Lepisosteus oculatus: one gene and its partners. The protein of the gene in region 1 purifies or fractionates together with the protein of each later gene. This does not show direct contact. Links are inferred from orthologs where the notes say so. Each region holds a gene or a part of one and is shown in the gene's direction. Other genes may lie near its edges.

Region 1 (7,814 bases):
CCTGTTTACAGTATAGTGTCCCCATCACTATACTGGGGCATTAGGACCCACATGGACCGCAGGGTGAGCGACCCCTGCTGGCACCACTAACACCTCTTCCAGCAGCAACCTTAGTTTCACAAAGTGTTGTGGGAAGTCTGGATACAGTTCTTCTATCCACAGCCTAGTTCTTATTCCAAATACACACATTTTCTTGAATGCCTGTTACTTATAATTTCAGAATCTATATCAGAACACTTCTGAACATATTTAATATTGGGATGGAATATCTTCAAGGGACATCTGATTGCTGCTTCAGGGGGTGGGGGTCAGTAGGTGGCACACTTTCCTCTAGACCGGTATGGGGACACTACGCAATGCTGTAAGGTACTGTGGACATTAAACTGATGTCTTGACTAGTCATTGAAGAATCCGTGGCAGAGCTTGTCAGAAAAGGAGTGTAAACCCTTCTGTCTTGGCACCCTGAACTTGCACAGACAGCCTCCCTAAAGTTCCCCTGTAACTCAAATGGTGAATCACTTTCTCTCTTCTTCAAATGATCTGTGTGGTGGAACTGCCGTCTGTCAAGTAGGTGGGAGATGCACTTTGGTGCTGGATTTAGGGACCCCTCCTATGTTTGAAATATGCTATACAGTATATGAAAAGGGCTTGTGTGATGACCCATCTTTTCTTAATCTACACTGCTTAATAGCTAGAATCCTATTGCTGTATAGATCACCTAGTTCAGTTTTAGTTTCCATACCCATACATATAACAGAAGTATGACTTATTGGTCTATAATTATTCAGCTCAGTTTAGTCACCTTCTTAGGGATGACAGGATGGGCCTTGTGAGCAATTTTCCAGTCAGTGGGTATTGCCCCTTTCCTCTGTGGCTGTTGGAAGAGTTACCAGCCCGTGAGTCACATCTCTCATTTCAGAAGTACAATTTATCGAATACATTCAGGCCCCAGAGATTTTAAGTACTGCTTACACTCTCTTCTTGTGAATAACATGCAACTTCCTTTGCTCAGCCTGAGGCATGAGGTCAAATTCTTCCTCACTGAATACCTGAGTGAGACATTTGTTTAATTCGATGAGTCATTTCCCTTCAGTGTCTAATTGGTGTCCATTTCACCTTGTGAGGAACTTTCCTTTTTCCTTGACTGTTCTTGTGCTGTTAAAATACAGTGAATGACCGTTTTAATTTATGAACCTCCTCTTGGTTATATTTGTATTGAGATGTGATTCGAAAGGAATCCGATCGCATGACTTGTGTGAGCTCAGACGTGTCTGAAACTCGGTTCCAATGGGGATCTGCTCTTCCCGTGCTGAGCAAGCGCTCCTCGACGACTCAGCGGGTGGCTTTCTTTAGTGTCTCCGGGTGTTGTAGCGCCCCCAACTGGCAGTTCTGTCATTCAGCCTTTGGGAGGAGCCAGTCGCCTGTTTTCAATGCTAGCTTTATCGTCCCATTTGGGAAAAATATCGAAGATATTAATTATACATGAAGCCTACTTCAACCCCTCGCCAAATATTCCGACTCTAGTCCTGAAAGTTGTGTATTGGTATGGAAACACGTTCCTTTCAATTTATATCATTTGGAACATTTCCAGTGAGTAGAGTATTTCCACCAAGAATTACTTTATAAAGCACGAATTCCCTAATACATAATGTTTTAGATTGATTTAATTTATGCTGAAATGAAATTAAAGTTTATTTATATGTAAAAATAACAGCCGTGAAATGTAGTTCGATGCTATTGCAGTCAATTACACCATCTGGATTTACACCGAATGATTTACGTAAATAGGTGTCTTACTTTTTTCCTCATTATTTTCTCGATGGGGGGGTCTATTTTTAGTTCTATTCAATTATTTTAATCACAAACCACCCCTCTGTTGATTGGTATCTTATTCTGCACCTACAGAATTACTTTTCTTAACGCTCTTTAATCTTTCTTTGCATCTCGAAATGCGTAAGGTAAACAAAATTGGACTGCAAAAATGCAAAACGCACTCAGCACTTTTCCCCTCTTTGATTTGTCTAGTAATCCCTTTACCGAAGGCTGCTACGATAAAAATATGTGAAACACAGCCGAAAATCAAATACACCCAGCACTGCTGTGGCGTGTGGCTAGGATGTTTGGTAATAAGGGACTGCGAACTATGCATATGTCCATTTCTGCTTTACTCGATACTTCGTGTAGCTTATTCCTAGGTATTACCCTTCCCGATCTCATTCCTCTGGCAATGCTGGAGTCGCCAAATGAATCTAATTGAAAAAAATCTTAATCAGTCTGAATCCTCTTAAGAACACGGAGCTGACAAATCAATTCATTAAACAGTCTGCAACTGTGTGCTGGAGCCTGCATAGCTGGCAGACAGCAGATGTGTCTCTTCAGACGATATGGAGATCCTGTTGCTGTGTATCGGTCCCAAAGACGAGCTGAGCTGGGTTGGGTGTTACTCCTCCTCTAAACAGAGAGCAAAAAGGCCGCTAAAGCATGTCTGGACACTTCTTGCGCAATGTGACATCCTGAAATAGGTTTTGCTCGTAGGAGTCGTGTTCTATTTTGAGTTGGAAGAATAAAGGGTTGCGTCTGGGTTATTTTGTTTTGTTTTTAAGCTAGGACAATAGCCTTGTTCAGTAAAGTGCCCACAAAGAGTGACATACTGTATTAACCTTTTCTACTAAACAGTGGTACACGCTTATAAACATTCTTACATTCATGCAGCCATTCAGTGTATCGTTTACCATCGCGTTCACCATCACATTTCAAGATAAACTTATGCAAGTTTACAGAATAAATATTTTGTGGAGGAAAAGTTGAAAAGCAGCATTTCAGTGTAGCCTAAATATTTATTTTCTGAAGAAATGTTCTCAAAACTGCCATTACAGAAGTTTAAAAAGATTCCCTCTCCCCCCTCCCCCCATCCATTATTAGCCAAATGGAAATGTCAAAATGGATTGGTACCTTCCTAAAGGGGGAATGACAAGTGCACAACAAGACAATTTTGGACATGTTAGTGTTAACTGTAGTGTTAATGCGTGCGCAGCTATAGGCTTAGGAGCTGCGAAGGAACGAGTCCGTGCTGAAAAGGTAAAAAAAAAAGCACAGAACTCACGAAGCGTCACAGGAAGACTCCACACCTGGAACATTGTGTTTTTCTTCTCTATTTTCACTTTACAGAGCTTTAATGAATCCTGTTTGTATTTGTGTGTGTGTGTTATTTATTAGATTGTCTTCGTTAGCCTCTACATGCAACGTTGTGCCTGCCTAGTTGTAGAGCTGGCTTCGTCTACAGAAGTTTCACATTACTTCTTTCTACCCACCCTTTTCATACAATGACTAAACCCCATGTGTGTGTCAGAGGACAACATGACAGCGTGGTGCATGGGCTTCATGCAGTTTGCCAGCGCAAATGTGTTTCTTAGAAATAACTCTGCATACCGTTCGTGCCTATTGTGACAATAGGAACACTTGAATCTCATGCTTTTCAGCACTGAAGTAAACAGAAAACTACACCTTCGGATGAGACATAAAACCAATGTCCTGACTCTCTGTGGTCATTAAAAATCCCAGGGCGTTCCTCGAAAAGACTAGGGGTGTACCCCGGCATCCTGGCCACATTTCCCATTGGCCCTTACCAATCATGGCCTCCTAATAACATCTATGAATTGGCTTCATCACTCTGCTCTCCTCCCCACTGATAGCTGATGTGTGGTGAGCGTTCTGGCACACTATGGCTGCCGTCATATCATCCAGGTGGATGCTGCACATTGGTGGTGGTGGAGGGGAGTCCCCATTACCTGTAAAGCTCTTTGAGTGGAGTGTCCTGAAAAGTGCTATATAAGTGTAAGCAATTATTATTATTATTATTATTATTATTATTATTATTATTATTATTATTATTATTATTATTATTTATTACACATTAAAGCACTGTGGCCAAAAGACAGCACTTCAGGGGCAATCGTGTAACTTGTGTGCGTGCTGACTTGCCACGAGCAATGATTTGAAGGCTACAGCTGTCCTGAAAGGGGTCTAGCAAATTGTAACAGAAGGCCGCTGTGAATCTCTACAGTAGGACCCAATGTCTACTGTATTCTGAATCAGACACCCACCTCTGTCCTTAAACCAAGAACAGGATTTTCTTCTTTCTCCCAGCGCTTCTGGATCTTTTTTAACATTTGTTGATCACCGAATAGTAACCTAATTATAAGACGAAGTAATTTAGATTTTGACCATGAAGTCTGGATGTAGTCTACATGCCGTACAAATTGTAAAAAGCTTCCTGGGACATTCCCTAAGTCGGTTATTGCTTGATATGAAAGGTGCAGAATACGGTTTCTTGAATTTATCACCATTTGGTGCGAACCCTCGAAAAGAAGTTAAACAATTTGAGCTGGAAAAAAATAATAAACCGTATTTGTATTGTGAATTATTTTTTATTCATATGTTTTAAACAGTTCATCACTATCGGGGAAAGAGTCCTACTGGTCCAAAAAACTCATTACACTTTCTCATTAAATACTTTTATTAGTTAATTAATCTTAAAACTTATCACTAAAGACTTAAATAATTTAATTTTGGGATAAGGTTTCTGGGTCTTTATTATTACTGTCACTATTACTCATTTTGTAAGTATAATGTAAGAAATTACTTTTTTTCACTGAGCCCCTCAACGACACTAGAGGAGCGAAAATGGATGGGTAGTAGTTCGTGTTTCAACTACTAGGTGGCGCTCTGATGTCTGCAGGCCTAGCGGACTCCTCGGTGTACCCTCTTTACCACAACTGACGAGGCATCCTACACGCTCTCCGATTTCACCGATCGGCCAGCCCGCCGGTAAAATATTCAGACAGCAGCTTTTTTCGAGATATTCCGTGTTGTTGTGACCATAGAGGACGAAAAGTAAAGGTGGTTCTATAAATCCATGCTTTCTTAAGTTCAGAAGGAAGACCTGGTCTTGAGGGTAAACCGTTCTTGAGTTAGAAATCGACTACTTCTGGACTCGACAGAAGCCCCCTGGCCGAGCGGGAAGAAGGAGTGGGAAGTCGCTCTGTCCACTACTGACTATTCCGATATAAATGCTGCAGCGATGGAGTGGTAAGATGTTGCATATTCTCTTCTTCCCGACCTAGTTGTGGCACGTTTTTAATGGTTATTATACCCGTGTTCTGCACTGTACCGTAGCAGTGTGGAGACATGTGGCATGCCAGTTTTGGAGGGTAGGCCGCGGGGTACAACACTAGTGAAACACATCTCACCTGTTACAGTGAGCTGTGGGACGGGTACCCGACGTTGATTTGTGAACATTTGTGATGTACATGGGTGGAAATGGATTCGATACTCGACCCTCCAGGCGCCCGTAATATAAACACATTGAACTGAACGGTTATTTTTTCATTTTGAGATCGATATATTGGACTCTTTATTTAAGGATGTAGGCAGAGTTAATTCAAAGAATGAACATTATATAAGGTATTTAGCAATTCCACTATATAATGCGTTTAACGGCACATCAGCTTTGTACTTTGCTGTTGGAAAGTAGCATACCGAGAACGCCTGGACAAAATATGTCTAGGGAGCTCAGGGTTACTACTGTCAATGTACAGTATGTGGGGTTATGGAAACGACAGTTGAAAGCAGAGGATCCTCCATATGGCAGAAAAAGGTTAGGGAATAGTCGGCATGGATTGGAAAAGGGTAGTTCTCGCTTAACAAACACACTTGCTAGAGTTCTCCAAACACGCAAGAGCACCAGCGGCAGATTAACGCGATAAAGTTAATTCTAAAAGGTTAATTCTAACATTGTAGGTGATAAGTATTCAAATAAATGTTTGTTTTATTATTAGGAGTTGAAATTTAAAGGGTAGTGAATAAAAACATGGGTAAGGGATGAATGCTCTAGCTGGGGTGATGTTATTAGTGGTGTGCCATAGGGACATGGGACCTGTGCTCTACCAGATTTCTATCAGTGATCTAGATTCTGGCGTGGAGAACAATCGAGTTCATATGATGCTACCAGTTTATGAGGATGAACAAACACTATGAAAGCAGCCAAGTAAATTCAAGATTTAGAATTCCAGACTGGGCAAACACCTCACCTGCCAGATGACATTTAATCTAGACAGAGCGTTACGTGCAGATTGTAGAAACTAGCACGAAGTACAAAATGGGAAACACAAATTTAGAAATAATTGGGTGCTTATGGTAGCATCTTTTTATTTCTTTATAATGTGTGAAAACAATACAAAAATCAAATAGGTTATATAGTTAAATAAGACAAATAAGAGCTCATTTTAGAACAGCACTCAGTTTTTGTTCAGAAAATAGCTATATTCTGGGAGTACAGTCCTGGTATTAATGTCCTCTTCTGACATGCTAAACAAACAAAATCTTTTTAGTCTTGAACAGAAAAGATTACGACGGGACCTGATTGAGATATTCCGAATCCCCAGAGGTACAGCCACAGTCAGCCTTGTGGGCCTCTTCAGAATAAGTCCTGAAATGAATCAATGGGCACAACGTAAGGGGAGAACAGGAGACACTTCTGTACGCCGAGGGTTGTGGGAGCCTGGAACATACTGCAAAGCTGATCCCTGCTGTGGCTTCTGCCCAGACAGCAGGATGATCCTCTGATCAGTTAGTTACTAGCTACCAGATGGGCTGGATGGGCTCAATGACCTTCCCTTGTTGGCCGGCTTAAGGTCCTTACGTCATTTATCACACCCTTCCCTTGTCCCCAGCGAAGACCCTCCTCCTCGAGCTGCGGTGTCAGCAGAAAACTAGCAATAACCTGCTCTTAATGGCGGGAGATGCAGTTCTGTTCGTGTCTACAGTTACCCACAGCAAGATAAAACACCATAGCTCTTTTTCTTTAAAAAGACACCTGTCACCATGCGGTTGGAAATGGACATGTTGCCTAAGGGGATCTGCCGCCAGGGGTCAGGAAGAGCACTCAGTCCTGGTTATGCAATATTTCATGTCCGTTTTTAAAGACGCCTTTGTGTTTTTGTTTTTGGTTTTTATGGGGGGGCTGACATTTCTGTCTGTCTCAGGGGCAGCAATGACCTGATGTCGCCGGTGGTCCGGGAGTTGGAGGTGACGCGCGCGGCCCGCCGGAGGAGCCTGAAGAAGAAGGTGGCCTGTATCCTTTCCCTGTGTCCCCCGGCCCCCTGTCCCGCAGCTGGCGGGAAACGCGTGGCGTGGGCCCGGGGAGACAGCCAATAAACACCCTGATGCTGCCTTTTCCTGCTGGACCCTAGAGTGGAGGATACAGGCAGAGTCAGCAGTGTGCTGTCTCCAGCTTGTTTTGTGACGTTCTGCGTGAGAATAAAAAAAGCAATAGATAGCTGTGTGAATCCAAGATAGTCCATGGTCTGCATGATGGGAGAACTTGTTAGTGAGCGGAAAACAGGGTCACGAAGGGAGAGGAAGCATAGTTCGGACCCGTGTGTTCATTCTGCACAAGCGTCCTGCGTCGACTTGTCAGATTTGTTTGTCTGGGACGCCAAAATAGGAGCGGCAGGGAATGATGTCAAATCAGTAAGGGGGTACCAAAGGACTTAGACCAGGGGTGCCCAACCTCTTTTAATGTAAGATCTACTTTTTCGTTTGCCAGTCCAGTGCGATCTACCGGTGTGAATTTGAAGCTCTGATATAGGAAAAACAGACTGTGGGCACATCAGTACAATAACGATACCCATCGCTAAAATGACAGCCAACAAAAGCAAGTCACTCACGCTACAGTGAACAAGTAATGTTCCCCATTTTTTGGGGAAAAAAAATCTCCAAACTTAATGAGAGCATTGGCGCTGAGAAGCTTTCTT
Region 2 (7,514 bases), about 31 Mb from region 1:
AGCAAAGTTCCTCCAATTTTGACTAATCCTTACTATTTGAAGTCTGCAAAAAGAGAGTCAGCCCCTTTCAATGCAGCTGCCTTTTCTAGTTAGTTTTAAGAAGTGACCAAAAGAAGACCTGTCTGAGATCAAAGAGATTAAAATCATATCCAAGATGCAGGACATTTGAAATCAGAGAGGACCCGAATGCTGTTTGATAGAAAGCTAAGCAAATTCAGTAAAAAAGTATTAATTAGGCTAAAGCATTTTCACATACAGTATCTCAGTAGATCATTTATAAGACTGTCCATACCGCAAGGATGTATGGTATGGTATGGTATTGCTGACAAAACCTCTGAATTCTGCTCTGTTAACCCACATTTTTGAGAGAACAGGTAACCAGTAAACGCCCACCCGAGCCTATTGCCAGAGACAATGTCCTCTTTTTGCCTCCTACCAAGAAAAGAGACGTTTGTTTGTCGCGTGCTGCATGCTTCAGATCGGTGAAGGCAGCTCTTCCAAGGCCTCTGTCAGGAATGTTTAGCACATGGGCCACAGCCAGATCGTTCTTGGAGTTCAGCAGCAAGTTTAAGTATGCACAGATTAGCCTCTTCATCACTTTCAGCAACTGCATTGGAAAGAAATGCAAAACAAACGTTAAGTTCAGCCTGCACAAAACGGATAGAACATCTGTTTTCAAAAACAATAACGCAGCAGCTGTTTTAGGAATAAGGCCGAAGAGAGAGTAAAACCGTTCAAATGACACTTAGAGATAGGAAAAATGTTTTTCCAGTTATCAAATAAAAAAAGGCACCTTGAAGACTATAGCTGGTGAAGGCCACCCCACCCAATTTAAAACAATCTAAAATAACATTGTTCATTGCCAACCTCTACTGTTAACCAAGCAGCCAATACTTTACAGTTCAAAGACCCTGCACATTTCTTTCAATAAGCCCATCTACATATTCACAGTGCATTTAGAAAATTGTTCGTTTTAAAATCAAGAATGAAAGAGCACACTGTAGCCACAAATTGTTTGCAATGCATCCTAGATGTCTGAAAACGTACTCATAAATCACCAAGCAACCAATACCTCCCCCCATCATATCAGAGAACACAGAACACACACACATCAAAAGCTACTAACAAACTTAAGCAAAGGCTGTCCCATCCATTGCTTGTAACTTCTAATTAAGATCATAAGAGCTTAAGAATTACTCCACGGACACGGATATTCTTGCTGTAATCATATGTCATTTTATAAATCCTGCTAAACTAGATCCATTTGCTCTCATCAGTCAGGGCAATAGGATTTAACTTTCTCGTTACTGAGGGAGCTTCCACTGAAAACACTGGACAGGAAGAGCAGAACACGACGGAAAAAAGTCCTCTGAAGACCTATGTTCTTGTCAGTTTTACGGTTTCACAGTCGAGAACACTGTGTTCTTTGGCTAACCAAAGTTCAAATCTATTACGTCAAACAAGGCAGATAAGACTAAGGCACAAGTACTCCATGTATTGTACAGAACCACGATATCAGATGCTTGCTGAGCAAATCGTTAATATGTATCCAATTCCTTGACGCGTGGATCCTATAGCAGGTGTCCAATATCATTTTTGAAAACTTAGAAAAACATTACGCTTGGATCTCAATTTTATTGATTCAAACACTATGAAAAGCAGGCACGTTTGTTGCTGATGACCACAGGATTTGAATTTAAAATGTCAACTATCTATCGTGTCATCTACATACAATAATCACAATAAAATATTACGAACAACGGAAAAAGAAGAGTGGCTGTCTTCTGGAGTCAAAACAGCACTAAGTGTACCTGGGAACTTGTCCATCGGGGCCTGCTGGATGGAGTCGATGGAACTGGAGGGACAAGGTCAATCTGATCGCAGTATTCAGAGTTACCTGACAGAAACTCAAACAGCTGGACCTTTTTCAAAGGAGAGAATAATCACCAACAGCCAAGATTCCCCTAGTACAATCCCACCTGAAAATCTGGATGCCAGTCAAAATTCAGGATCGCAGGGGAGCCACGGCCCATCCCAGCAAGTAACAGGCGCATGGCAGGATACACCTTGGATGGGACGTCAGTCTATTGTAGGGCCTCACAGACATGCCTACTTAATGCAACAAGCCAATCAACCTACCAGTACATCTCAGGACTGTGGGAGGAAACCCATGCAAATGAGAGAACATACAAACTCCACACAAATAGCACCCCAGATCAAAAACTGAAGTCAGCTCCCCAATGCTGAGCACTGTGCTACCCTACCATCAATTCACAACATAATCTGAATGTAATTTTTATTAATGACATTTAGAAAATGGACTTTTAGAAATGACATTTCTAAATTCCAAAACATTTAGAGATGAAGAGAAGTCAGCCCTGAACCAGTTTTATTTTACAGAGGTTAAGGAGGTATTCTGGGGGATGAAGGGAGTGATTGTTTTAACACTACATAAGCCATGACTTAAACAGCACCTCAAAAAGTAAAGGAGCCTCAGAGGTCACATTGCACTAAAGCATTGCAGAAGATTTCCTCATTTATATGTAGCAAGCAGGATTCCCAACAGGGGTACTTACAGCTGCAAGGCGATTTTCTGGATCGCTTTCTATTTTTAACTGCTCAGCCATCCCAAAGATGTCAATCAAGTCTACAGTATTCGATCTCTTCAGGAAGGAGTCATAGCTTTTCCGTATGATGTTGTAATTCTCTGGAGCATGTGAACCTTCATGGAATAAGTTCAGTTTATCCTTAAGTAAATAAGCCCAGGTGACAATGACTTCACTCAGTGAAACAGCAAATTCTCCTTTCTCCTAAATGGAAACAAGAAGGGAATAATATGAACCCAGTACTCATGTTCATCTCATGTAATGTATTATCTGGTTCATGTCTTTCATTTCATGCATAGAACTGATTAAGCCCATTTATCTGTCCCCCCCCCCCTATCATAGCAGAATGATGATAACCTTATGAAAATCTTGTCCACATAAAAAAGGGATTTCCTCCTGGATACACAAATGTTTTTCATCAATGTGTTGCAATGCTGTTCCCTCATCCGCACAGAAAGCCAAGCTGACATAAAAATAACTATTAAAGCTGTTAAGTCATGTGCTCCTCATGGAATCCCAGCAGGTACTAATCCAGTTACACATTCCTCAGATATTACAGGGCTCTGTACATCTAGCCAGGGAAAGATTCCTCTGAAGAGCAGGGCCACATTATTTTAGACCACAGAAATTAAAACCGTAACTAGTGCGTCTTCTAACACAAATAGGACTTGACTAAAACTAATAGGTTCGGCAGCGCATAACTACAAGTATGTGCCGTACACACTTTTTCAAGAGGAGAGGATTAAATTTCCTGCAACCTGGTGTCCTCTGCACAAACCAAAAAACAAACTGAGAAAAGATGTCAAAAACACAAAACAAGTATGGGAAAAGAGCACGGCACACTGAATGACTGGGGTACAGAAGGCAAACTCTTAGCACCTAAATCTCCAGTCCTGGTGTTGGTAGGTTTTTGTCCAGATACGTATAGTAGGGTGCATCAGGGGTGAACACTAACATACTTATTTGGATTCATATGGAGACATTCAAGATTTGGATTTGAATTTAGTCTACATTTTATTTTCTCTATGAATGGAAGGTTGACTGCCAGTGTGAGGACAGGCACATGACGTCAGAGCTGATCACAGAGTGGATTAGCACTCAATGAAACTCCTAATGTTCACGGTTAGAGAACTACTTCGTCGTGCAAAACCTCACCTGTTTGTTCACCTCGGCCATGACCAGCTGCAAAGCCGTGAACATGTCGTCTGCATTGCATATCGTTATCCTCTCGGACCCGAGCAGCCGGTAACAGTCTCTCCTGAAGGCTTTCACCAGGACCTTGAGATTTTGTTGAAGAATCGCCATTTTTTCTAGAAACCAAACGGGGGGATACTTGTGAACAATAAGCACATACATGCGACATAAAAGCGATGTTTCTGTTGGTGGTTGGTGGTGATGGCTCCTTTGACTGATCGAAGACGTACAGTTATGAGTTGCCTAACCAGCACTACCTAATCCAACTAGATTGGTTTTAATTGGGGGTCTGTGTACTCGCAATTTTATAAGACAAGTGTTTCAGTTTTCAGCGTCCTCGTGTTTGGAGAGGCGCTTTATAAATAGAAGTTGTTATTATTACTAACAACAACACCAATGCGTTTGAAATACAACGCATTCACACTTCAAACTTCAGAAAAGCAACATCAAAGCCAGTATCAAACAAAACGATCAAACGCTTCAAACCTTACTTAAAGTATAAGGGGAAATAACCTTAAGATACACGTTAAAGGCAGCTTTAACATATTTTTAAGTACCTGCAAGTCCCTGTGTCAACAACCGTGATGCTCTCCCTAGGGAAGCTGTTTCAGAAAATGTAAAAAATTTAAAACTCCTGACAGCAAGACACTGGCCAATGAGAGGGGGCAACCTTTCACCCGGATATGATCCTGGGGAGCCAATCAGATTGCTGGAAGCAGAAAACAGACTCGCGCGGGTTCTCTGTTTCTGCGTTGTGCAAGCTGGTGGTACAACTTGAGTTTAACACGAAAAACCACTGAAATACCACCAACGTGTTGGATTTAGCGACCTTACCCGTGTCATTCCGATATCCTGGTAGGTACGCTGTTAAGCTGTTGTGGAAAAAGTAATCATATGAACGAGTGACTTCACTTCACTTATTTTCAGTGTAGGGCAATATATATTTTTAGTATTGTGAGGACTTTTAAGAAAACAAAAACATACGAAATAAGTTCAAATGAAATGAAATTGATTTGTACTTTTATATTAAGGAAAACACCCGGCGGTTGATGCATGCCAGCATGTTGATTGCAGGGTTTTATCAGAGCACATTCTGTATCGGTGCAGGTATTATCACTCGGGGCAGCACATGTCGAGCACAACTTCATTTGTGTGCGTTGCTGACTGCTGTCGCTGTTTTAGTCCTCTTGTCTCCACCCAGAGCACATTTCGGCTGAGCAGCAACCACGTTGCTCACTGTGCTGTCAAACCATCCCGTGAAGTTTCAACGAATTTTCTTCTTAAGGCTTCGAGCATATGGAGTTCAGTTTGACTGCGCCGGGTTTCGAGTCTTTATCAACCAGTTTCCCTTCGTAAGCTGCATGCAGTAAAGACTGGAAACATATTGCTCCCTTACAAACGTGCTTAGTTTTTTTTCCCCTCTTCAACCAGTAGAACCAGTTCCTTCCAGTCCCCGTGAACTGCTTCAACTCAGTGACATCTGTGGGTTTTCAAGCATAAACTGCCCGTGACACAACATTTAGGTCTGGACTTTGACTAGGTCTGGTGAGTCCGTACTGTAGGTCTTCTGTCCAGCTGGGGTGATATTGACCTGAATCAAATCGCTGCTGGCTTAACTGGACCAGTTTACCAGCTTCTCTCTTCAGTCTTAGGGACTGCAGGCACACTGACAGCCCTTGAGGACCAGGACTGGGGAGCCCTGCAGTGCAATACCCCCGGACCTCTGTGTTTCTCCCCCATACCGTGTTGCTGGAGTCTCAGACAGTGATCCAGGCTGATTTCTGTCTAAATTCCACTGTTTCTTGGTACCCTGGGATCGCTTTGGCTATGCAGGCATTGGCTCCTCAGCACGTCTTATGTAGTTCACACTCCGTCACGTGAAAAAGTAGACTTTCTTGTGGTTTCTTGATCGGAGCCATCCAAGTTATAGTTCCTTCTCCGAGAATCATGGTAACTCACTTTTCATTTGACCCTTTCCCTGTTTTAGGAGAATCCCCTGCTGTAAAAGAAAGGGAATCTGACACCAGACATCGAGAAATTAGAATTTTGTTCTCTTGTCTGCGGGAGCACTTGTACTATTCAGAAACAACTTGAAATGCGAACAAGAGGCACTTCTTTACACAAAGAGTTGTTGGAGTGTAGAACGAGCTACCGAGACATGTTGCTGAAGCCAATACCCTGACTTATTTCAAGAAATCACCAGATTTCTTTCATTCAGACCCCTGAATGGCTAAACATTTAACACCTAGATGGACCAAACTTGTCTTTTGTAACCTTTCCTATTTTCTTACTAAAAGTTATCTGTCGGCTGAATCTGGCATCAGAGGGAGAAATATTAGCTCATGGTTTACGTGATTTTTCTTTTTGATCAATAATCGGTATGATTAACAGGTTCCCCTGTGTGTATATTTAAAGCCATCACATACAATCCAGTTAAAAATAGTTGTCAGATCATAGCAGGATAAAAAATTCCACTCTGCATATCCCCGCTTCCAACATTTTTCCTATATAGAGATCAACTTTCATAACGCACTTAAGTCCATTTAACTTTTCCACAGTTTTTTTTTCTTCAACTCCAACAAAGCAAGAAGTGCCAGAAAATAGAATTCCTGTGTGACAGTCGTGGTCCCATAGGGGGAGAAAGTCCTTTCCCAATTTCCCTACGCTCAGCTGTGCATGTTGATCTCTCTGCCAAGGTGGTCATATGGATCCCAGAATCCACACTCCAGCAGGTTGATAAGTAGAACATAATTCCTCAGATGTGTTTGTAACCGACAAGTCATGGTAAATGTTACAAACTAAGCAAATATGTCATGTCAGTTGCTGGCAGTCACATAAGGAATAATCTAAGCACATTCAAGTGTGTTCATGTTCCCAGATTTGTGTTGTGGTTGTGTGATTTTGCCAGATTAATTATTCTGCTGTGATTGCAGTATTTAAAGCATGCATTATACCACAGAAAATAAGTGCATTAGAAAGGTTTATGTTTTGTACCATGGAGAGAAATTGTAAAGCTGCGCTTTACTCAAAGCATTGTGGGTATCCGAAACAGGCTTCACAGTCAGGTTGTTGTGGCTCAAAGTCAGGTCTCCTCCATCAAGCTGGGAAGAAGCTTGATAAAATTTTAGGTTTACCTAGATACCAAATGAGCAGAATGGTTGGAAAGGCCATATTCTTATGTTCTTCAGAGCATTCTCGGCAGAAAATGTAGAAATAATCAAGTAAAAGTACAGTGCCTTACAAATTCAGATGAAAAGTGTTAAATACAATTTGCATTGAAGATCATCTGGTAGTTGTCATTTGAATTTTTTTATTCAAGTCATGCTCAGATCTACAAATGATTTTTTAGTCTTTGAAAAGAGGTTTCTGTACCTGACTGAGGTGATGTTCTGTTGTTTATGGGCTCAAATGTTTATGACCTATGTCCCCTGTGGTTCTTTCCTGAGGCTTTCAGATAGCATTAGTGGTTTATGGAATGGGGAATATTGGATTAAAAATGAGAATCTAGGCAATTTAAAGCTTTTCAGTACCTTAAAATAAGTGCTTGACCAGAGTGGCGCCCTACACTAACGTGATAGGTCTGGGTAAACGGAGCTTTGATCCTGTTACAGCTGTGTCAGCCTGCTTTTGTACATGTGAATATCGGAGAGAGGAAAAGACGTGCAGAATACCCCCCTGTGTGAAAGTCTTCACTTAATTCTTGGCTGCAGAGAC
Region 3 (7,147 bases), on another chromosome or scaffold:
TTATTTATTTTGCTCTGGTAATCCTACATACAAAAGAGAACTATAAACAAGAAGCCTGTTCTCCCCATTCTTGCAACACCTGCATTCCTTTGGATTTACATATGAGGAAATAAAATAACACAAATATTACCTTCACATATTTGTCCAGATTTTTCACAGAGGACCCTTCTGGCACTGGGATGTGTAGGTCTATCTTAACACTGCACTGTAGGACGGACCATGAGGATGAGAGTCCTGGCTGGTACTTCCAGTCTGCTGGCTTAGCAGAGCTCTTCAGGGCATCATTAAGAAGTGACAAGTAAAGATATAACGACGACAAAGATTCTTAATAAGCATTCATTCTTCAATGGAATAACTGCACAGAAGGTTGTAAAAGCTGTTTTCTTCACTGCTTTTGTATAAAAGGATGCAGAATTAAGCCAGGAGTTAATGGAAAAGGTTAAACATGGTAACATATTTGAGGATAAGAGCTAAGGATAGCATTAAAATCACGTCTAGTGACAGGGTAAATTAGGTTTGGAACTATGGTAGGAACACATTTTACACTCCAATTAACTGATTAGGTTTAGGGTCATCATGAGGTCTAAGGTTAGGTTAGGTCTAGTAGATGTTTTAGGTAGTACTTGTTTTATGTAGGGTATGGTTAAGGTTGCATTTCTCAAAGCAATATTTAAATTCTCTTTAATATCACCTTGGGGTCTTGCACATCGAAAGTCCGACATGTCACTCTTGGTTCACCAAGTCAAGGAAAATTATGAAGCTTTAGGTGACATTAATATCAGGACAAATGTCAGAGCTACTGAAAATAATGTGTCTGCTTCATATAAACATCTGTAATAGATACATTAACCTTACATCATGGTTTTGCAGACAGAAACTTACAACAGAAACACATTAGGAAGTCCCGCACCTCCAAGTACACAAGTGCAAATACGTTAGATGGTTACAAGTAACATAAGTTGACATGGCAAACTACATCATAATCACTGCTTTGTATTTTTTATGATTGCATTAATATTTAAGAATTAGCCTAAAATGTGAGGTCGGATTCAGATTCACCTTCCTACATCAAGGTTTTTGATTAATGATACTGCTCCTATGTACAGGAGAATGTCTGCATTGTCAACCTCACACACTGTTCTAAAGGATACTTCCTCGTCTTCGAGCAGATGTGAAGAGTCACTCTTTCTGAGACATCATCCTCTGATAGCTTCCAAAGCCTTCCCTTCACTACCGACTTCTCCACTCCAAATACCAACTAAGGAAGAAAAAAAAAAGCTCATATGCCTAAATGATTTTCTCACAGGTACAATTGTTAATACACGATTTTCTCCTTTCTGTCCAATTCAGAATGACCTTTTTTTTTTATTGGAGCCACTTCGGATTAATTTGAACTTTTTAGCCATATGTAACCGGTATATGTACTGGTACAATGGAATTCTTACTTACAGAATAGCTCATTGTTTTAGACTTGGCCAGTTTCCCCTCTAATTATGCACACAATGAGCAAAGTGAATTGTCTGAGCAACCGGGAATACTGAACATGATAATCTTGGGGAAACACAAAACTTTTAGAATCACTTGCAACGTTTTCTATTCCATTTGCAATGTAACAACATTTGTTCTTCCACTTTACATACTGTGGCTTGGAACTATTAAATTCAACGAATGAAGTAACGCTTGCTTGGAACATACATCTATCGCGTATTGGGCTTGGAGAACAACGTATTACTTTACTGTCATACATTTAGACCGAATGACCCAACAGCAGAGTATCACTGAATTCTGAAACAGAAACAGAAAAATAATAACTGAAATTAAGATAAATCAATTATGAATCTAAATGTAAAATCGATAGTTTTTCTCTCTCCAAAATGTGTTGTATGAGAAGTGGAGTTAGTCAAGGTTACATACAGTATGGATCTGGGCCATAACGCTCAATGTGTGTTTCAGTCATGGGCCTGACTCAGGGGCTGAGTCACTCACCCTCCGCAGTGTATTCTGCGACTCCTTGGACAGTTCAGGCGAGGCGATCAGAAACACGCCAAGGACCTCCAGCCCCCCAGGCAACATTCGAGAAACCTGTTCAGCACCACGGGACATTAAAACAAAGAGATCAACTGGGGGGGGAGTTCTCAAATTTCCTTAAAAAGATTTTCATAAACAGTATACGTTGACTAAAGGAAACAATTCTATTTTATTAAGCTCCGTATCTGTGTATATTTATTATTCCACTGTTGACCCGTTTTAACATTGACTTTGACATCTGTTGTCATATAGGCAGTAGAAATGCTATTGCTTCTTACAATCATTCGTTGCGCCTTTAACGCCTTTAAGTCTATTTGTTGCAATACCAGATATATACTTCAGTTCCACCTGCTTTCATTATGATGTGAATTTTTCTTGGCAAAGTCATTAAATCACACACCTGCCGAGCATGCCCAATGACCCAGTCTTCATCAATGTCCACTAGTGATACTTTACTCTGTTTGGGCTGGTTAAATTGCTCTTCTCTCTGGGCCGTTTGAACTGCAAGCACTACAAAGTCCCTCTGTGGAGAACACTAAACGCAAAGAAAAATAAAGTATTAGTAAAGCATCAACTAATAGTTTTATTTTGAATGTACTGAGCTTATTGTTTATGGAGTGCACTGTCACACTAAACATATCTAGTTCTCTTTTAAAGATGATAAGTTTACATTACACAAAAATCTCTACATTTATTGGATTTACTTTGGAGATGTCTAATGGTAAAACTATTTTAGTTTTATGCTTCGCTTCTTAAAAAAGCCCACTCATACGAAGGAACCTCACCTGCCCAATTAAGAGACCGGTTGTGAAGGCTTTTTCTGCAGTGACAAGGTTCAGAATGTACTTTTCTACCACGTCCTCCACAAAGTAACTTCTCCCCATCCTGAGAGATTTATCATTACTTGTCTTCTAAGGGGGAAAAGCAAAAATGACATATCAGTAAAATGGTACTTCACTTAGATTGATTCAGCAAACTGTGACACTATTATAAGTCGCTCTGGACAAAAGCGCTAGCTGAAACAGATGGGTATTATGCGAATCCCAAGAAGCACAGTGTATTTACGAACAGACTGCTGAATCCTTACTTATCGATCATGTGCGGGTTACAGCAGCTGATTCAGAGCAGCGCAGGAGTTACACGTCATCTCTTTGGTCAAGTACTTCTTAAAGAATCCGGGACTTTAATCCTTGTAGTATTATACATTTCCCTTCAAATTAAGCTGGATTGTTTAATGCAAAATGTAAATATTATAAGGAATTCTGTACAACAGATCGCAAATATCCTACACACAAAGATCTTATTTTGTGAGAAGGCACACGCTTTATTCTCCAATTTCAACACGCACACACCCAATCATAACATACGGGTGTAAATAAACAGCCCGAATATTGCTTTTCTCAAAACCCGTAACTTAAAATTTAGCTACTTTTAAATTTGAAACGTGTACTGCGATCATTATACTCCTTCTGTAGCTAAAGAGTAAAAATAGAAGGCACTGCAAATCATGCCCATGTAATATGCATACATAAATTTCTAACTTTCCAACATTCAATTGCCTGTCCACGACTGTCTCAACTATATGTTAACATCAGAAACTCATACCTGCACGCTTCACTTCTGCTTGGTAAGACCACCCAAAACAGCTTTTTTTTTTTCCTAGGAATGAACGTCACAAAGCCAGCAACCGCTGGTTGGCCATTTTGCGTTGCTTGATTATGACGTCCTTCTTCGGAGGACTTAACTAAAATGCTACACTCTTATTAAACTATGCGCTAGCTGCACAGGAAAAAAAAGTATAAATATTTAAGATGAATTAAATGAAAATGCTGTGGATAAACGTAAAAAGCCCAAGACGTCTGGAGGTTCATCGTTATGCATGCACATCTTCCTCTAAAAAACACATTTATATATTTTTCTCTTTAAATTGTAACTACTTATGACCTTTAATATGTCGTGAAAAAAGAAACGTATCTTCTGTCAGACATTACAAGGAGAAGAATAATTGCAACTACACTTTTCTTTACCTAGGTGGCGATGCAATTTACTTACGGAAATGACGACAAGCCCCGGCCTACCTAGGACTTTTTATATATATCTATGTGAGAGAGTGGGGAGATAGGCGGTATTTTCCAAGAGCTTTCGCCCGAATTGAGACTTGAGGGGGTTAAAGATGGCGGCGATTCTGCAGCAGATGCTGGAACGGCCTGAGCTGGCCAAGCTCTCCAAAGCCGTCCAAAACAAGCTCGAGAAGTTCTTGTCAGACCAGCAATCTGAAATAGATGCCCTCAAATCCCACCACGAGCGATTTAAAGTAGACAGTGGTAAGATGTTTGGGAAACGTTCATGTTTAATCTTTCGTCATGCCTGCTCTGGAGACGCAGGGAGATCTCGCGTTTCATTCCGATCGCAGACTTTGGATTTTGAGAGCATATGATTATAAGTGCGCAGTTGTGAACATCGCTTTCCTTAATGTTTGAACTGACTTTGGTATAGGGCCCATTTCTCCAGCTGCGTGTTTATTCATATATTTTAATATGGCTGCCGAGAGGAGGCAAACAACAGGCCTTTGGCACCTGGCTTTTCAGACCTCAAAAAAGGATGTTGTCTGATTCCTTTTGGAAGGTTGAGTTTTCCATTTCTGTCTTTTTTTTGTTGATTTACAAACTGTGAATTTGGAGGAAATCCCCCATCTGTAGTATTTGATCTTCATACTTTGAATATTGAATTACGAGTTTGTTACGTCTGTAAACTGCAATGTTAACCCCATCTGAGCAACTGATCTTGAACGTGAATTTGTCCCGTTTCAGGCTGTAGTGGTTAATTTGTAATTTAAAGAATGGGGACGATTATCTACCTGGTATAAATCATTGATTTGTCAGACTTTTTATGCAAATATAAATAACCTATGTTTAACGACATACCTGTACCCTAAACTTTTGCAAAACTGTTTGTCAGGTTAAGTTACAGGATTGTCTTGTAATATAAGCAGTTATTGAATGATTTTGCACAGATTTAGGAGTTAAACAGTGCTTAATCATTCATTAATATTAAAAGCTTTTCTTACAGCAGTGCAACCAAGATTGATGCAGGCTATTCTCTAATCTTTACAGAGCAGCAGTACTTTGAAGTGGAGAAGCGACTGGCTCAGAGCCAGGAGAAACTCGTATCAGAGACTCAGGAACGCCAAAATCTCCAGGAGGAGTTCACCAAGCTCAGTAAGTACACGGATTGCAATCACTTTATAGTAAATGTGACAGTACTATAGTTTTCACCCAGATACGAATGTAGTCCATGCCTTTGAGCATGCTGTTGTAAATGGTAGGCTACTGTCAAAAATGTTTGGAAGCTAACTCTAAGGATCTTTGTTCATGCTTGTTCCTGCACAGGGTGTATAGTTTGTGATTCAGGCCATGTGGTAAATTATCTTTTTGAAGAATCCTCTTTTTTTTTGGATGAATCTTTGGCTACTGCTCGAAGCTTGCCATGTAAAGACTCATTCACATTACAAGTAGGGCTCTAAACTAATTTTTCTGCGTTCAATTTCTAGGTGCAGAGCTGAAGACCCTGCAAGAGCAAAAGAGAGAATATGAGTCCTCAGAAGAGAGATTTTCTGCACAGCAGGTGAACATCAAAATACATTTTGGATACAGACATTTTAGTTACTTGTTCTGAAATGCCTTTTCTTTGGATTTTGTATGTCATTTCATCTGAAACTTAAAAGGGGCACATTTTGCTTGTGAGCAGGCATCACAGAACCACCGTCTTCTGTTTAATTTCAGGCTCACCTCACCAAAGTCAAAGATGAACTGGAGGCTGAAAAACGAGAGTTGGTCCGAACACTGGAGAAAAGGTCCCAGGAAGTGGAGCATCTAAGTGGTATGAAAATCTGGGTTGTGCCACAAAGCCTCTGACCTTGAAGGAATCTTTTAAGACAGCCTAATTTGCATAGCTGCTGTCGTTATGATGAATTGTGTTATACAGTTTAGATGGGGTTTTTCTTGACACTGTTGCTTGAAATCTTAAGACTCAGAAGTCTAGTTTTTGTTTGGCAACTTGTATTAAGGGAATCTGGTTGTCTTGGAGTTTCAGAATAAAGGTGAGTTGTTTTGAGAGTAAAAGGCCACAAGAGGGGCTGAGTGAGATGTACTGGAGTCTTTTCACGTTGTGAAATTTTAAATATTTGTGCTCCTCAGCAAAGCTCTCAAAAAAAGGGCAGTGCAACATATTCTACAAATTGGAGTCCTTCGGTGTTAAGTTCAGATCTACCGTCGTTTTTCTTTTTATGCAACAGATACTTAAAAATGTCATCTTTCTTTAACAGAGGACCTTAAACGTCTCAATGACAAGCTTGTGGAGACGAATACTGCAAAGATGGAGTTCCAGTTAAAGCTTGATGAGCTTCAGTCTTCGGAGGTTTCAATCAAGGTGAGGTTAATACAGCTTTAGGAGTCTGTCAGTGAAACTTGTAACATTGAGATTAAACCAAAAGTTGAAGTGGTTGCCTGGAAACTGTAAATTTGGAAAACTGTATTTATCTGCCAGAGGCTGTTGTGAATCTGTGGAGTCACAACCACTAAGAAAACTGCATCTTTGGAATATTACAGGTTGGTCATGTTCTAAATAGAATCTAAGTAGGACAACAACACAAAGTTGTTTTCTGTTTTTGTTTTAGTACCGGGAAAAGAGGATGGAGCAGGAGAAAGAGCTCCTACAGAGTCAGAACTCTTGGCTGAACACAGAGCTGAAGGCCAAGACTGACGAGCTGCTCTCTGTCTCCCGAGAGAAAGGCAATGAAGTTCTGGAGCTCAAATGCAACCTGGAGAATAAAAAGGAGGAGGTTTGTTTTATATGCTTTATTAGGCAGATTATATGTTGTGGTCTGGTCCTGCAAGGGTTAAGAAACAATACTCTTGCACTTCAGGTTTCTGTTATAAACACCTGAAACTGTAAACACATATTTAAACAAAAATAATACTTGATTTGGTCCAGCTTTGGCTGGTGTGAAAAATCCACTCTTTTGATTAGGTGCAGCTACTTCTCAAGTGCATTCTTCATTCATTGAGAAGGTTTATAGTTATGCATCCCAAAATTGTGTTAATACTATACTAAAGTGCAG

What was found. Proteins that work in one complex are often made in the same cells at the same time.
Region 2: the proteins of nup107 (region 1) and nup37 purify together in Homo sapiens (affinity purification with mass spectrometry; 7 studies listed by BioGRID and IntAct, with this or other methods). This does not show direct contact. The link is inferred for Lepisosteus oculatus from reciprocal best matches to the Homo sapiens genes NUP107 and NUP37.
Region 3: the proteins of nup107 (region 1) and nucleoprotein TPR fractionate together in Homo sapiens (co-fractionation; 4 studies listed by BioGRID and IntAct, with this or other methods). This does not show direct contact. The link is inferred for Lepisosteus oculatus from reciprocal best matches to the Homo sapiens genes NUP107 and TPR.

The regions. Positions count from the first base shown.
Region 1 is NC_090702.1:23,597,629-23,605,442, reverse strand, and holds the start of nup107 (nuclear pore complex protein Nup107), read left to right. Parts: upstream 1-4,800; 5' UTR 4,801-5,080; coding exon 5,081-5,088; intron 5,089-7,043; coding exon 7,044-7,132; intron 7,133-7,814. UniProt on the Homo sapiens protein: Plays a role in the nuclear pore complex (NPC) assembly and/or maintenance. Required for the assembly of peripheral proteins into the NPC. May anchor NUP62 to the NPC. Involved in nephrogenesis.
Region 2 is NC_090702.1:54,841,059-54,848,572, forward strand, and holds the start of nup37 (nucleoporin Nup37), read left to right. Parts: upstream 1-4,501; 5' UTR 4,502-4,655; intron 4,656-7,514. Other genes in the region: parpbp (PCNA-interacting partner), read right to left, coding at 437-607, 1,812-1,922, 2,577-2,810, 3,762-3,911. UniProt on the Homo sapiens protein: Component of the Nup107-160 subcomplex of the nuclear pore complex (NPC). The Nup107-160 subcomplex is required for the assembly of a functional NPC.
Region 3 is NC_090704.1:8,458,866-8,466,012, forward strand, and holds the start of nucleoprotein TPR, read left to right. Parts: upstream 1-4,134; 5' UTR 4,135-4,201; coding exon 4,202-4,352; intron 4,353-5,141; coding exon 5,142-5,246; intron 5,247-5,578; coding exon 5,579-5,652; intron 5,653-5,810; coding exon 5,811-5,907; intron 5,908-6,352; coding exon 6,353-6,456; intron 6,457-6,703; coding exon 6,704-6,868; intron 6,869-7,147. Other genes in the region: odr4 (protein odr-4 homolog), read right to left, coding at 131-271, 692-728, 1,152-1,258, 1,987-2,082, 2,429-2,563, 2,814-2,912.